Linked DNA regions of Rattus norvegicus. The protein of the gene in region 1 purifies or fractionates together with the protein of each later gene. This does not show direct contact. Links are inferred from orthologs where the notes say so. Each region holds a gene or a part of one and is shown in the gene's direction. Other genes may lie near its edges.

Region 1 (3,513 bases):
GTGCTGGCAGGACAAAGGGCTATCCCAGAACCCTAAAACTAGGAGTGGTCCAGCATAGAAGAGTGTACTTATTCCTGCATTTGGCTGCTGCCTGTGGACATGGCTCAACCCACACTTAGGCTTTGGAGCTAAGCGTGTGGTCTATGCCTATAATTCCAGCACTCAGAAGCTGAAGCAAAAGATCACTTTGAGTTGGGAGTTTGAGGCTAGCCTGGGTTCTCCAAAACACCGAAAGAGGGGTGGTGGTAGTGGACAGCAGGAGTGTAGAGGTATTCAGGCTTGGGGGAAAGGAGTTACCTGAGTCTTAGAGATCTGCCCTGAGACCGGAAGCAGCCTTTCCTCTCCAGAGTCCCTCAGCATCAGCCATGAGGGGGCAGAGTAGTAGTGGAAGGGAGGCAATGCCCCCTGCTACTACATTGTCACCTGCACTCACACCCAGAAACCTGAGCTGCCACCTGCCTGCCCACCCCAGCCGCTGGCCCTGTGTAACTAGGCACCGGCAGCTGCTGACCATTCAGAGGCAGCATCTCTGGCGTGGCCCCTGGCTGGGGTGGGAGGTCAGCAGGCTGGCCCCTTCCTGCGTAGCCTCCTGGCCCAGAGACCTACTGCAGGATGCCAGAGGTAAAGAAGGGCAGCCTGGGGCAGTGGCGGGGGATTCCCTGTGGGTACCATGAGCCCTTCCATATTGTGGGTTAGGGAGCATCATAGGCTAACTTGGCTGCCCGTGCTTTCTGGGCCCATGGGGTTGGGGCAGTGACTCCAGGAGTTAGTGCTGGAATTCTAAAGCAAAGAGCTGCCACGGTAACCCAGGGAGCCTCTTGAAGTCCATGAGGAGAAAACGAGACTGCTCAGGCCTCCAGGGTACTAGCTCTAGAGAAGGGGGGCCAGAAGGGAGACAGGGGGAGGCAAAACCTAAAGGTAGGCTTCCTGAGCCTCGGATGGGGCAGTTATCCCTTCTGGTTCCTTCGAGATCCCCAAGCTGTGCACAGTGCCCCCTATGGATTCTTCCATAGGTCCTGCCAGCAGCTATCTCATTAGATGTTTACATGCTTGGTGACATGCTGTGTCCCTAACCCCACAGCTAAAGCTGTGTAACAGGTAACTCCTCCAAACCTCTCAGTCACAGGGCACATAGCGTTGTCAATGAAATCTGGGGATTGGTCCCTTAAAGCATGAGGGTTGGGAGGCTGCGGATAGAGCCCGATGTCACTTTCTGTGGTTCTGCAGGATGTCAATGGGCCCCCAAGAGAGCTGCGTCCCCGGCTCTGCCACTTACGAAGGGGACCCCAGGGCTACGGATTCAACCTGCACAGTGACAAGTCTCGGCCTGGCCAATACATCCGCTCTGTGGACCCTGGCTCTCCTGCTTCTCTCTCTGGCCTCCGGGCCCAAGACCGGCTCATTGAGGTACCCTGAGTCCCTGTGTTTGTATCTGTATGTCCCTGAGTGTCCATGTATGGCCCTGGGTCCCTGCAGGAGGAGGGAAGACACAGGGAACTTGAGCTGGCACTCTTCTAGCTGCTTTGGCTGCTGGTGGCTTCGATGAATATTTGATGGCACACCTGGCTGGGTGGCATTGGGCCGACTGGGCCCCTCAGGCCTTTCTGACCCTGTGTGGGTGGCGGCAGGTGAATGGGCAGAATGTGGAGGGGCTGCGCCATGCCGAAGTTGTTGCCAGAATCAAGGCACAGGAGGATGAGGCCCGGTTGCTGGTTGTAGACCCCGAGACTGATGAACACTTCAAACGGTTGCGGGTCGTACCCACCGAGGATCACGTGGAAGGTAGGATGCTGCCTTCGGGGCAGAGGGTAGGGTCAGTCAGTGCAGCCGCTAACTTGCTGTCCCCACAGGTCCACTGCCATCACCAGTCACGAACGGGACCAGCCTTGCCCAGGTGAGAGGGTGTGCCCAAGGGGACCATCGGTATACCTCTACCCGTGTCCCTAGACATGGTAGAGGCTGCCTCTCCTGGAGATCTCTGCACAGTTGTGAAACCTATCTGGCTTGGTTACCTCAAAAATACACACCCATGCTAGCCAGGCATTAATCCTGGCACTTGGGAACCAAAGCAGGCAGATCTGTGAGTTCAAGGCCAGCTTGGTCTACGGAGTGAGTTCTAAGGCAGTCAGAACTGCACAGAGAAACCCTGTCTCAAAAACAAAACAAAACAAAACAAAAAAACCAAAAACCAAAAACCAAAAAAACCCCAGCCACTGTGGAGTCTGTATAGGGGTTGGCAGCAGCTCAGACGCACAATGTGGGCAGATACCTGGCCGTCTTTCCGTGCCTTGTTCCTACATGACTACTGAGTGATCTTTACCTTCTTGGGGTACTAGTCCTGGTTTGACAACAGGTGAATTCGCATAGCTGACTCCCATGGCCACAGCTGCTCTCCCATGTCATGACTGCTCAGGTTGGACTTGGCTGTTAGGTGCCAGCTGTGCCCTAGCCCGGGCAGTGACAGAAGTGTGCTCACTGCTGAACAAGGACTGGCTGCAGCTTTGTGTGTGTGTGTGTGTGCGCGTGTGAAGATCTGGGTGCACCAGGATGGGGATGCTGAAACCACAACCTGCCCTTGGTTTCCTAGCTCAATGGTGGCTCCGTGTGCTCTTCCCGAAGCGACCTGCCAGGCTCAGAGAAGGACAATGAGGTAACTCTGCTCACACATGGGGCTTCGGAGGCCTTCAGATTGGGTCTCTGTGGAGATACCTACCAAGATGGTGGGCTACCACTTCCAAGAAGCCTCTTGGGCTAGTGGTCCGGGCCCTGAGGTGGCCACTGGTGTTAGTTCCTTGGGAAAGTGGCTGCCACGGGTAAGGCTCACTGTTTGTACCTTGCCTGCCCCCAGGATGGCAGTGCTTGGAAGAGAGACCCCTTCCAGGAAAGTGGTCTCCACCTGAGCCCCACAGCAGCCGAGGCCAAGGAGAAGGCTCGAGCTACTCGGGTCAATAAGAGAGCACCACAGATGGACTGGAACCGGAAGCGAGAGATCTTCAGCAACTTCTGAGCCCCTCTCTGCCTGTCCAGGGGTCCCACGGTCTCTTCCTGCACGGACCTTGGGCCTCTCCAGAGCTCCCCAAGCCTCAGCAGACTGGAAGGTGGTATTACACCACCCAGAAACCAACCCACGACCCCATGAACCCTTGTCTTGTCCACTGGGTGCTGCGGCTGTCATAGCAAGATCAGAGAAGAGAGAAACCGAGAGAGAGAAAGAGAGAAAGAGGGAGAGAGAGAGAGAGAGAGAGAGAGAGAGAGAGAGAGAGAGAGAAAGAAAGATAGGCACAGCCAGCCAAGACAGACACAGAGACAGAAAAGAGTGAGAGAGGGAGTATGCGTGGTGGTCTGCCAAGGGCCTTAGCCGTTCTGCCTTGGGCCTGCTGACTGAAAGGAATTCATGTTTTCGCTTTTTTTTTTTTCCTAAAAGTTCTCCAGCTCCACATATGTTTGTAGTTAATAGTGGAGCCCCCTCCCCCAACCCCTTGGGACTCACTCCTAATACTTGCAATAAAACAG
Region 2 (4,255 bases), about 560 kb from region 1:
GCAGAGATTTTCTGGGCACCATACTTGGTGTTACTTGACTCTGTCAGAGCTTAGGGCTGGAGATGTGCAGAAATCAGTTTTCTGCCCTTCTCTGCCTCAAGGCTTCTCCCCACTGTTCCATAGACCCAGGGTGTTCATAGCTGAGACTTGGGAGGCCATAGCAACTATTGAGTATGGCAAAGATGCTGCCATACACTTTTTCCACTTGTTTTAATGCAAAACCCAACATAAACTGATGGTGATGCCAATGGGTGTAGCGCCTCTTAGGCAGAGTGTATGATAAGGGTCCTGACAGATTTGACAGGGCTAGGACGACTCTCAGAACCTCTGAAGATAAGTGGCTTCTGGCCTAACACTTGAGGGTTGTAGGTTAGAATGTGGAACAATGGCCTTGGAAGGAAGCTCTTTCAAGCACGTTTGCAGCGGTAAGCAAATGAACTAGCCAATATGCATACCTGAAAATTCCCTGTAATTCATTTCTTCCATATGAAGAATCCAAACTCTACAGAAATTTTTACAAATGGCAAAATTTCCCCTCCTCATGTAGTCCACCCTAGTTTAATCATCTGGGTTAGTGACTGCAAGTGGGTCACTGTGCAGGCGAAAGCCTCCATTATGACCATAGTGTGATTGAACATGGCACAAATCAAAAACTGTTACAGTATTTAGAGCTGCTGCGGCTATTCCCTAGCCACGTACAGTAGGATGAATCAATAGTCTATTGCTGTCATTCAGGTTGGTGGCAGTCAGTTAGAACATATGTAATATTCTCTACCTGGTCTGTAGCTGTAACTGTGATGTACAGGCAAAGGAAAAATTAAAAATACTTATGAAAACAGATAATGCAATGATACTAGGATATACACTTTTGTATTTTTATTCTTATATAAGGTTATTTGCTGGCTATTGTCGGCCTCTAGTTCAGTCTGTATTATTTAAATTCTAATATATGAATTATTTGGATTGAATTCATGTTTGGGGCCACGTTGTATGTATTGATGTACAGCCTTGAATGTGAATAATTATTGTAAACTATATTTTACAACTTTTTTCCTGGCTTTATTATATAAATTTTCTATTTGGTCATGGTTTAATCATATAATTTAATGAAACAACTTCTTTTTTTTTCAAATATCTGTGCTTTAGATGTAATTACCGGATGATGGATTTCCCTCGTATGCTCGGTAGTCTTGTAATAAAAGCATGTAGAGTGTACACTTTCTTCTGTCCTGGATTCTCTTTGGGTGGGGGCGGGTCTTGAGCTTAGGATGCCCGTGAGAACCCGAGGCTTGCTCCAGCCGGAAGCTGTAATCTCCGGTCTGCTTTTCGAGCCGGAACTTCCGTCTTGCACATGAGACCTGGGCGGGCACTTTATTGGGGCGTACTTATGGGCGGGCCAACTCGGGGGACTGTATTAAAGAACGGACGCTTCCGGCGAAGGGGCGCTGTGGCGGGGCTTGTTAGGATCATGGCGGAGAATCACTGCGAGCTGCTACCGCCGGCTCCGAGCGGCCTCGGGGCGGGGCTGGGGGGCGGCCTGTGCCGCCGCTGCAGCGCTGGGATCGGCGCCCTGGCTCAGCGCCCCAGTGGCGTGTCCAAGTGGGTCCGTCTCAACGTCGGCGGCACCTACTTCCTCACCACCCGGCAGACGCTGTGCCGGGACCCGAAGTCTTTCCTGTACCGCTTGTGCCAGGCGGACCCCGACCTAGATTCGGACAAGGTGAGGGCCTCGCGGGTCAACAGGGGTCTGGCCGCCCTGGTAGCCACTCGCGGCACACACCTCTCTCCACACTGAGGGCGCCCAGCGAAGCGGACATACTCAGCCTAGCGTCCTGGGCCGGGGGAAGGATGGCACTCTTGTACCCACCTGCCTCAGGTTTAACAGTGCTTCTCTTGCTTTTCATGTTCTTCGGTCGAGAAAGACCCAAGCTTTGCTGTGTCCCTACTTTCTTCTCCCTAGATTGTTTTGCCCAGGGTGTGTGACTACCACCGCCCAACTATTTGCTGGCTTTGGAACCTGAGAGCCCTTTGCATTCATCTGGTCTTTTCACATTCCAGACGTTTAAATAAACGTAGGCCATAAGGGTTGCCACAGTGGCTACCCTTTTTCCAGTGACTTGCAGAGTTTGTGCTTCATCCTTCTCATCCATAATAAGAACAGGCATCGCAGCTCTTAGAAGGTACCTCCTGAGTAAAAATGTTCAAGGGTGTCAGTTTACTTCTAATATATGAATTATTTGTATTGAATTCATGTTCGGGGCCAGGTGTAGAAAAACCTTAGGATTGTGAAAGAGAGACCAGGTAGAGAGAATCCTTTTCGATCTGCTTTTCAGACTTTGTTTCCCCACTGCCTTTGAAAAGAGTAGGAATTTCCAGCTTAGTTTGTGGTTTGTTTAGTTTTAATTTAATTAAACGCTAATACTGTTATACCTGTGGTAATAGAAGGTATTTCGATTATTATCATTACAAAAGTTGTGTGATATATTGCATAACTGAGAAATAAGTATTGTGCAGGACCGAAATATAGGGAAAAATCGTTCTCTCCCCTTTCCTCCTAGACAGTTTACTGAGTTTTCTGGTTCAGTTTACGTGATGGCACTTGATTTTGTGCCTTGCCACCTGAAAGTTTCCACTCAGGAGGTTTTCGAGAAAGATTGGAGCCCACTGCACTTTAAACAGCTTGACAGAGCACCTTCACAGTGAGGCCTGGCATTATGATCAGGAAATAAGAATTCTTGAGTTACTGCAAAATAATCACGAAGTTAGGGTTTGAGATATACTGTGGTAGTCCCTCATATCCTTCCTCCCAGCTGTTCCCATTTCTGAGTTGACCAAATCTCTTTACTCGTAGAGAATTGACCTCCTAGAAGATGACAGAAGTCTGAAGGATAGAAATAGGCTTTGGTCATTGGTGTTTTCTTTTTATAGTTGAGGCTGTATGTTTTACTGTTGGTTTTTCAAACAGTGGGCATTTATAATCATTCTTGTCTTTCTACTCAAGCATCTCTGTCTTAAATCAGATTTTAAATTTTAAATCAGCCTTGGCCATTGGCTTCTGGTGTCTTTTGCCTACTTAGCACTGGAACAATGGATCTAGAATTGTTTGACTTCTGCACAGTTCAAGTCAAATATATCTCTTCATTTTACTGTCTTTTAAGATTATTTTATAAGTTATCCTTTATTGTGCTGGTGAGATGGCACAAGCTGCCAATCAAGCCTGACAACTTAAGAGTCTCTAGGATCTACAAGGTGGAAGGAGAAACACTTGACTGAAAAGTTATATTCTGAGCTGAGCAGTGGCCGTGCATACCTTTAATTCAAGCACTTGGGAGGCAGAGGCAGGCAGATATATCAGTTTGAGGCCAGCATGGTCTACAGAGGGAGTTTCAAAACAGCCAGGTTACACAGAGAAACACTGACTCAAAAAACAAAACAAAACAAAATAGCTGGAGAGATGGCTCAGTGGTTGAAAACACCGGCTGTTCTTCCAGAGACCCTGGGTTCTATACTCAGCACCCACATCACAACCGTAACTCCAGTTTCAGGGGATCCGAGACCCATATTGACATATGCAAGCAAAACACTAATGCACATAAAATATGTCATTAAAAATTCATATACAAAAAGCCTGGTGTGGGAGTGCACTGCTTTTAATCCCAGCACTCAGGAGGTAGAGGCAGACGGATTTCTGAGTTCCAGGCCAGCCTGGTATACAGAGTGAGTTCCCAGATAGCTGGGGCTATACAGAGAAACTGTCTCAAAAAAAAAAAAAATTGTACAGTGAATTTTCGTTGCTTGTTATGGTACTTGTGTGCCCACACACATACATAAATAAATGTGTGTGTGTGTCTATGTGGATATGCGTTTTTTCTTTATTGCAATGTAAGATTATCAGAATATATTTTAGTTGCTTTTAAAAGTTTATTATTGGGGTTGGGGATTTAGCTCAGTGGTAGAGCGCTTGCCTAGGAAGCGCAAGGCCCTGGGTTCGGTCCCCAGCTCCGAAAAAAAGAACCCCCCCCCCAAAAAAAAAGTTTATTCTTTAGGAACTAGAGAGTTGGCTCACTGGTTAAGAACACTTGCTCTTACAGAGGACCCAGGTTGGATTCTCAGAACTTCTCATAGTGGCTTTTAACAATCTGTGATTCCAGGTCTGGGGAGTCTGACACTCTCCTTTGACCCCTTTGGCATCAGGCACATACATGTTACACATAACGCATGGGCATTTAAAATACTCATACACATAATGTAAGAT
Region 3 (4,129 bases), on another chromosome or scaffold:
AATTAATTTTTAGAAATTTAACAATCACTGAAAAACTTTTTGTCCTGGCTGCTTTCTCATCCCTCTTCAACAAAAATGTGTAGCTAACCTAAAACCAAGCTGCCTTGATAGGAATTTCAGTTCTCTCTCTCCTACCAAAGTTTTCTAAAATTAAGGCAGGCTCTGGATAGTATGTAACCCAAAGCCTCGAAAGTGAGTATCTACCTATGTAAAGCTACTATGAGGGTGGCAACTCAATGCACGACGTTTATCAAATATTTCAAATAGTTAATTGCCTCAAACCAGCTTGTTTCAACCAATAAAAAGTAAGTTTATAGATCATACATTGCAACAGTAAGAACTCACACAACATAGTTAAAGCCTAGGTGGTGAGCAGTTTGAGGAAGTATGGAGATCAGACTATACCGAGAAACCTTGTCTCATTCACCCTCTACCCAGCCCCGAGTGTGGAAAGAAAAATCCTGAAAGGACTAAGAGAAAGCAAGTCCCACAATGTCTCCATTCTAATATTTCTCCCTTCGTCTACTGTTTTCTGTTATGTAAGCTTTTACCAACAGGATACAAGGCCCCAAGTCCTTAGCTATTTCTGTCCTAATATGGGAGGGAGTAGATGGGCTTAATTTGAGTGCTTTACAGGAAGCACGTTCAACTATCTTCTAAAGAAGAATTTCCAAACACTGCTAGTTTTCATGGACCATGAAAAAAGTGCGGAAAAAGGAAGACCGGGCCAGCGATCCTGTGAACTGTGTATTTTTGTCTCATTCAAAGGCCTTACCTAGAGTTTAGAGTCCCTGAAAGCTCTCAATCTCAATTAGCCAGGAAAATAAAACTCATCTGGCAAACGGTAGAGAAGCGAGTTAATGAAAAACGTTCACAGGACACAGAGTTCAACAGCAGAGGGCACAATACCCACTAGCTAGGGCCAGAAGCTGGAAGAGAGGGAGGGCAGAATCTGACGATATCTGGGTCTTGTAGTTCGCTATTGGTCTCCATTGGAGGCTCGCCCAGGAGATGAACTACAACCCCCACTGTGCAACGCGAGCCCCTCTCGCCAGCTCTCGTCTATGGCGAGGACAAACCTCCTGGGAAACAGTTCTGCCCCACCCCCATACGCACGCGTCACGTTTGTTTACCCTGAGGCCCCGCCCCCAGCCTCCCGCTCTCCCCAGAAATGTCGTCATGCTAACGATGCATATTCATGAGCAACTCCGCCCCGCCACCGCCCGCCTTCCCGCGCTTCATTAATATTCATGAGTGAGGTCGGGCCGCAGCTCCGGGGAGCTCAGGCTGACGGGCAGCGGGCGGGGCCTGGCGCTGGGGAGCCCCGGACCAGCGGGGAGGGTGTGTGTGGGGGGGGCGGTGGCGGCGAAACGGGCGGGCGGCGCGCGGGATGGAACACCGAGACACCGACGGAATGCTCCGGATCGCCACATAATCCTCTGGAACAGCCGCGCCGAACGCCATCGGCGTCTCCGTTCTCCGCGCGCCGCTGCCGCCGCCGTCTCCCACCTTCGCCTCACCTCCTCCTCCTCCGCTGCCTCCGGAGCTGGGGGGGCGACGTGAAACCCCGCTACGATGGAGCCCGCCGCCGCAGCCCCGGCACAGCGACTCGCGGACCCCACGGGTGAGGACCGAGCCCCGGCGGCGGCGGCGGCGGCCGAGGGCGGACGGAGTCCGGATTCTGTGCTGAGCGCGGCGGCCCCGAGCGGCGGGAACGGCGGCGCGGCGCGAGAGGAGGCCCCCTGCGAGGCGCCGCCGGGGCCGCTGCCCGGCCGCGCGGGAGGCACCGGACGCAGGCGTCGGCGCGGGGTGCCCCAGCCCGCGGCCGGCGGGGCCGCCCCGGTGACCGCGGCCGGCGGCGGCGCCAACTCGCTGCTGCTGAGGAGAGGGCGGCTGAAGAGGAATCTGTCGGCCGCCGCTTCGTCGTCCTCATCGCCGTCCTCGGCGTCTTCGGCCGCTGGCGGCCTCCCGGCGTCCTGCTCGGCCTCGGCGTCGCTGTGCACCCGGAGTCTGGACAGGAAGACGCTGCTCCAGAAGCACCGGCAGCTGCTTCAGCTGCAGCCGTCGGACCGGGACTGGGTGAGGCACCAGCTCCAGCGGGGCTGTGTGCACGTCTTTGACCGCCACATGGCCTCGTCCTACCTGCGCCCAGTGCTCTGCACGCTGGACACCACAGCCGCCGAGGTGGCCGCCCGGCTTCTGCAGCTGGGCCACAAAGGCGGCGGGGTGGTGAAGGTGCTGGGCCACGGGCCACCTCCGGCCGCTGCCCCGGCCGCCAGCGATCAGACCCCGGCCACAGAGCTCGGAAGAGACGTGGAGCCACCGCCCTCGAGCAGCACGGTCGGTGCTGTCCGGGGCCCTGCGCGCGCGCCTCCTGCCGATCTGCCGCTGCCCGGGGGCGCCTGGACGCGCTGTGCACCTCGGGTCAACCCTGCGCCCTCGGACTCCAGCCCCGGAGAGCTGTTCGCGGGCGGCCCCTGTTCCCCGTCCCGCGCCCCGCGCCCGGCCTCCGACACCGAGAGCTTCAGCCTGAGCCCCAGCGCCGAGAGCGTGTCAGACCGGCTGGACCCCTATAGCAGCGGCGGCGGCTCCTCCTCTTCGTCCGAGGAACTAGAAGCTGACCCGGCCACGGTCTTGACGGGGCCTTCCGGGCCGCCCCACCACCCAGTCCGCTCCTCACAGCCTCGACCGCCTTCCCCGAAGACCTCGGCGTTACTGCAGCCGAAAGCCCCGACGGGCGTAGACGGCACTGGCCTAGTGGTGGGCGAAGGTCCCGGAGACGACAAGGCGGTGGCAGCTGCAGCTCCAGGCGTTCCTCTGTGGACTCCAGGGAGGATCCGGGAGACCGTGCAAAAGACGTCTTCTCCGCCCTCCCTGTATGTACAGCTCCATGGGGAGACTACCCGGCGCCTGGAGGCGGACGAGAAGCCATTGCAGATCCAAAATGACTACCTCTTCCAACTGGGATTTGGGGAGCTGTGGAGGGTGCAGGAGGAAGGCATGGATTCGGAGATTGGCTGCCTCATCCGATTCTATGCAGGTAAGGAAGTTGCATGCATGTTTCTGTATAGCGGCTTCGAACCCTGGCCCGGACCGATAAATGATTCGAGGGGCCTGGTGAGTCTGGCAGTCTTTTCTAGCTGGTTCACATGCTGTTTGTGCAAGTACTAAATTCAGTATTCTTTAAATCTGCACTTTTTAGTGTCCAGGTCTGAGGTTGGAAAGCCGGGTGGACGAGGTGGCAAAGTCACCTGGAAATACAGGAAACACCTAAGAGGGGTACGGGTCCTTAACTGTAAAGGTGGTTTCCTCCAGGCCTCTGCTCTCGTTGGGTTGCAGGCGGTTTGGGATTCCAGGTAACACATTAATATAGACAGAGGACAATGACCAACGGAAAGTGTTCCATGATGCCTTCCCTATTCAGCTGTCCACAGTTTACCATTCATAGACAAGGCAGTGTGTGTGGGCCTCTGGGGCTGTGCTCTTGTCAACTGATGCTCCTGTTCCACCGTCTGCCACGCTTCTTTGCTCACTGAGTTCTTGTAGACACCCGAGAAGTGTGTGTGTATGTTTGTTGTTTTGAGTGTTGCTCACCTTCGGCGTTTTTAATTACTTTATTTCACTTTCCAAGTTTGAATCTTGCATAAAAGATGAGTTGGCCTGCTTCTGTCTTGCAGCCTTTATTGTCAGAACTGCGACAGGACTTGAAACAGACTAGACTTAGTAATGTCGGTGATTACTGCCTCTGATGTGACCTGAACTCTAGCAGTATTTTAGTATCTGTTCAAGTGCTTGTCCAGGGGTGACCAGTCAGTTTCTCCCTTGCCTGGAGTCTTGGCTGGAACTAAGTCGTGGAGTTACATGGCTACTGGGTATTGTTTTTGAGCTTTGTAAGCTACTCGAACTCTGGTTGAAAGGGATTTTAGTGGTCAGAACTTCTGTTTGAAATAAGGTTAGCTTAGGAGAATTAAGACTTTCAGTTTTATATTGTAGGTGCATATACTAACAACCCATGATGCCCACAGAGCTTCTTCCACAGCTAGAGGTTTTTAGTCCAGCATGTGTCCTAGTTGCAGTTTAATTTGAATGAATTGGTCTTTAACACCCACATTGATATATGCAAGACCTC
Region 4 (4,046 bases), on another chromosome or scaffold:
AGCCAGTGCCAGTCAGGGCTCCTCTTGAGGCTGAGAGCCTGGGGCAAAGACGCCGGCAGGGAAGCTCCTCCTTAGCTGACCCTCCTCCCCCAGAGCCAGCTCCAACTCTTTCTGGGTTTCTAGGTGACTTGGCTGGCCCCTCTGGATGAGTTCTACTTTAAACCTGCTGCTGCTGCCTCCTCTGTATTGGGGGGGCTCCCACAGGGGCCCCCAGGCAGGAGCCCCCCCCCGGCCAAGCCCTGCGGGAGGGGCTGCAGCCCCCACCCCGGCTGGTGCCCATGTGTCTGCCCCTTCCGTTCCTCCGATCGCTGGAACACAGATTTCAGGGCACCTGCTATGGGCCAGGAGCTGCACAACCCCTCCTTTGGGGACACCCACGAGGCTTCTGCCCCCTCTGGGCAAACAACCATCCTTCACTGTGCGGTTTTCTGCTACGAGGCTCACTGAGGCTGGCTCCCATCTCAGGGTCAGCAGCGCCAAGAACTGCGGCAAGGTTTTCTCTGGAAAACCAGGATGCCTGGGTCCTCAAAGGAGGTGGCAGCTCCAGGCCTCCAGGGCTAGGGACGGGGGAGGGGCGCCTGCCGGCGGGAGGCCCATTAGCCAGCTAAGTGCTCCCTGGGAGGTGGGGGGGGGGACTGCTCTGCAGCAGCAGGGGGTGAGGCGAAGTGAGGGCACGCGGGTGGAGTGGGATGGAGAGAGATGCGGTGATATTTCCTGAGTTCAGCTAAGTGCGGTAGGAGTGGGTTGGGGACAGGGGTCTGTGTCCCCCAGCCTTATTATCTTCGCCTTTTCCACCTGGAGTCCTCAACTAGCTGACCTTGGCATGTCTTCGGTAGTTCGAACACCCGTCTTTCCAGGTGCACCCTCAATAGCCCCGGGCTCCCAAGCTCTCCTACTTTATCTAAGACTCCGGAAAACTTGAGACCTACTGAGCCGGCCAACAAAGACCCCCCCCCCCCCCAATTCCGCTCTATCATCCCTTTGGCTGCAGTCGCCGCCCCGACCGCCAGGGGGCGCCGCCGCGGGTCGGGCGACCCCTCCGCGGTGGGAGGGGGCGGCACCGCCCGACGGGGCGGGGCTCGGCGGGGGCGGGGCCGGGCGCCGAGTCTCCCGTCCGTCCGGGACAGACTGGCTGGCGGGCGGGCGCTGACGCCGCGGGGCCAGAGCGGGCCGCGCGGGAGCGTGTGGAGAAAGCAGTGGCACCGTCCGTTCCCGTCGGGGTTCCATAGGTCCCCGAGCCGCCCCTGGCTTGGCCATGGCGGGCGCGAGGCCCGGCGTCCACGCGCTGCAGCTGGAGCCGCCCACCGTGGTGGAGACCCTGCGGCGCGGGAGTAAATTCATCAAATGGGACGAGGTAAGAGAGTGGCTGTCCCCTACTCTGCCCTGATCGAAGGATTCCTTCAGTCACATTCGGCTAGATGCCAGGGACCCCCACTTCAGTGTAGCCTGACCACTGCACCCCTATTCCAGCCTTGCTGCACTCCGGAAACTTGAGTCCCACTGTTGTCCTGGTAATTGAAGACTTTGTCGTCGTCGTTCCCCTCACCGACCCGCAAACCAATCCTTTAGCTGTGGTCAGTTGGGTTCTCCACTCCTTGGCATGGAGACTTTGAACCTCAATAAATCCTGTCCCTCTTCTTACTCTTTCCCACCCTTGCCAGACGATGAATATCAGTCTCCATGCTGGTTCTCAGTTTCTGGTCTTGTCCTCAGATCCTTGTGCCTGGCACTGGGCTCCCAGGGGGTATAGGGCATCCTTGTCTTGGGTGGGGTGCCACTGGGATCCTACTCTTAGCAGTGCATCGCCTGAGCTATTCTATTCATCACATTTCAGCCTGTCCTGGTTGGTACCCCTTCATCCTGTTTCTGGGTTCCAGCGAGCTTTCTGTTCAGATGGGAGCGCCAAGTTACCCCTTACCGTAGACTTTGTCCCTTTCCAGGTCCCTCCAACTCTGGGAACTTTGCTCCCCACTCCTTAATTTAGTGACTTTGAACCCCAATAAATCCTGCCCTCCCCATTTTTTACTACTTTCTCCCTGGTACTTTCCTGATACCCACCTGCGGCTTCTTATCCAGATATCACGTCTTACCCACGTTTCTGGTTTCTGTACTGTTCTCTCCCCTGCCCCCTGGGCCCCTCGCTCCCTAGGGCCTCAACTCAGCGGCCTGAGCTTCCTTACTGTTCCTTCCCAGTCGGGCCATAGGCCTGGAAGACGCTAGGGCTAGGTTTCTTTCCGGCTGGGTGGGGCAGGAGTGGGAACTAAGGGGAGGGGCTGGGGGCGTGGCCTTAGCTGCAGGTGTGCTGGGCAAGGGTGGGTACCCCTGGGTCCCCAGAAGACCCCTTCCCCCAGGCCAGCCTAAAGGGAAAAATTTCTCCTTTTCCTTGCAGTGTGATAAACCCAAATAAGGAAGTGGGAACAAGGAGAGGGCCTGGGGTGGGGTGGGGGTGCCGAGCAAAGTTTGGAACTGCAGAGCCAGAGTCCTGGGTAGCCTTTGGAGGTTAGGACCCTGAGGATGGTACCACAGCGGCTTTAGGGACAGTACCCACAAATTTCTCCCTTTCTTGTACTACTGGTGGCTGGTTAGTCAGGCCCAGGGCAAGGTTCTGAATCTCCTGGAGAGGTTGGGACCTGGTTAGAGTTGAAGGATTATGAATGTCCCCAGATCAGCTGCTGTTCTTTTGTAAACCAAGACTGCATGGGTGGGGCAACCCCTATTCTCCCAAGAGACAAACTGAGGTCTCTGCTATGAGGTTGATGCTGAGATCAGGAGCCAGGGGTGGTCCAGAGGGGTCTTGGCTCTCTCTGTTTGCCACGTGCCAGGACTTTACAAGTGTACCCCTGGAGATCCCGACTCCTCAGTTTCCTCCTGTGTAAAATGAGGGTGATGCAGGACACATCCTACACGGCGTTGAGGAACATGAAGGGGGGTGAAATTCAGGGTGTAGAATTCGCTGTGGCTCACAGTTGGGGCTGTGGGACCTGGAGTGTATACTGTTGGTGGCAGGGTTGTCTAGAGCCAGAGTTTGGGGATTTCAATCCTCTTTTGGCTCAAGGGAGAGTAAGAGTAAGATTGACTTGAGTGAAGTCCTTGCTGGTCCTGAGTCTTGGGCTCCGTGGGGTAGCCTTGGGCATCAGTGACTGGGTCCTTTTTAGAAAGTGAGCCTTGAGGTTGGGGATTTAGCTCAGTGGTAGAGCGCTTGCCCAGCAAGCACAAGGCCCTGGGTTCGGTCCCCAGCTCCGAAAAACAAAAACAAAAACAAAAACAAAAAACAAAAAACAAAGAAAGTGAGCCTTTTCCTCATATCCTGCCTTCCTGTCAGTCACCATAGGGTTGTTAGGGAGAAGAGTGAACCCCCTGCCTAGTCTTCCTGAGGGACCTTTTCTATAAGATGGGTGAGCCTAGAGGCTATAAGGATCCCACGAGGTACAGTGTGATGGGTGATAAGCTTTGAGAAAGATCTTAGGGTGGCCAGATACTGTGAGGCCTCAAGGACAGAGAGAACTTTAGCTCCAGGCTTCTAAGCCCTCTGCTCTCATACAGGAATAATAAGGGATCGGAGGCAGAGGATTCTAGCATTCTTGACCTCTCAGGCCTTGTTGGGAAGCCAAAGCTAGAATGGGCTCCTGGAGACCTCCACAGCAGTTTCAAGGTAGAGAAAAAGTGAAAGTACAGGGTAGGGTGTGGCAAAAGCTGGGTGTTAGAGACAGGGTAGTAGCCTATGGGATAGAATCTCAGGGTAAAGGTGAAGCTGGGAGACATGTTAGAGACTGAACCTGAAATGTCACGCTGACGACTTGTCTTCGTCTCCAGGAGCACCTGTGTGTCGGCGGAGCGTCCTCTTAGCTCACTGGCAGAAACCAGCTACCGTAGGTCCAGCTCTCACTCCCCTGACCCTTGTCTTGTACTGCCCTCAGGAGGCCTCCAGTCGGAACCTGGTGACCCTGCGAGTGGACCCCAATGGCTTCTTCTTGTACTGGACAGGACCCAACATGGTGAGAGTGGTGTTGGTGCTGCCGGCTCAGGCCTAGGCCTCTAGGGGTGAC

Evidence for each region. Proteins that work in one complex are often made in the same cells at the same time.
Region 2: the proteins of Nherf2 (region 1) and Kctd5 purify together in Homo sapiens (affinity purification with mass spectrometry; 3 studies listed by BioGRID and IntAct, with this or other methods). This does not show direct contact. The link is inferred for Rattus norvegicus from reciprocal best matches to the Homo sapiens genes NHERF2 and KCTD5.
Region 3: the proteins of Nherf2 (region 1) and Phlpp1 purify together in Homo sapiens (affinity purification with mass spectrometry; 3 studies listed by BioGRID and IntAct, with this or other methods). This does not show direct contact. The link is inferred for Rattus norvegicus from reciprocal best matches to the Homo sapiens genes NHERF2 and PHLPP1.
Region 4: the proteins of Nherf2 (region 1) and Plcb3 purify together in Homo sapiens (co-immunoprecipitation; 3 studies listed by BioGRID and IntAct, with this or other methods). This does not show direct contact. The link is inferred for Rattus norvegicus from reciprocal best matches to the Homo sapiens genes NHERF2 and PLCB3.

What each region holds. Positions count from the first base shown.
Region 1 is NC_086028.1:14,167,520-14,171,032, reverse strand, and holds part of Nherf2 (Na(+)/H(+) exchange regulatory cofactor NHE-RF2), read left to right. Parts: exon of another isoform or gene 1-612; coding exon of another isoform or gene 613-621; intron 622-1,227; coding exon 1,228-1,407; intron 1,408-1,628; coding exon 1,629-1,782; intron 1,783-1,850; coding exon 1,851-1,894; intron 1,895-2,587; coding exon 2,588-2,650; intron 2,651-2,848; coding exon 2,849-3,007; 3' UTR 3,008-3,513.
Region 2 is NC_086028.1:13,606,960-13,611,214, reverse strand, and holds the start of Kctd5 (BTB/POZ domain-containing protein KCTD5), read left to right. Parts: upstream 1-1,452; 5' UTR 1,453-1,468; coding exon 1,469-1,720; intron 1,721-4,255. UniProt on the Homo sapiens protein: Its interaction with CUL3 suggests that it may act as a substrate adapter in some E3 ligase complex. Does not affect the function of Kv channel Kv2.1/KCNB1, Kv1.2/KCNA2, Kv4.2/KCND2 and Kv3.4/KCNC4.
Region 3 is NC_086031.1:22,821,806-22,825,934, forward strand, and holds the start of Phlpp1 (PH domain leucine-rich repeat protein phosphatase 1), read left to right. Parts: upstream 1-1,326; 5' UTR 1,327-1,575; coding exon 1,576-3,040; intron 3,041-4,129. UniProt on the Homo sapiens protein: Protein phosphatase involved in regulation of Akt and PKC signaling.
Region 4 is NC_086019.1:213,586,633-213,590,678, reverse strand, and holds the start of Plcb3 (1-phosphatidylinositol 4,5-bisphosphate phosphodiesterase beta-3), read left to right. Parts: upstream 1-1,243; 5' UTR 1,244-1,255; coding exon 1,256-1,354; intron 1,355-3,917; coding exon 3,918-3,995; intron 3,996-4,046. UniProt on the Homo sapiens protein: Catalyzes the production of the second messenger molecules diacylglycerol (DAG) and inositol 1,4,5-trisphosphate (IP3).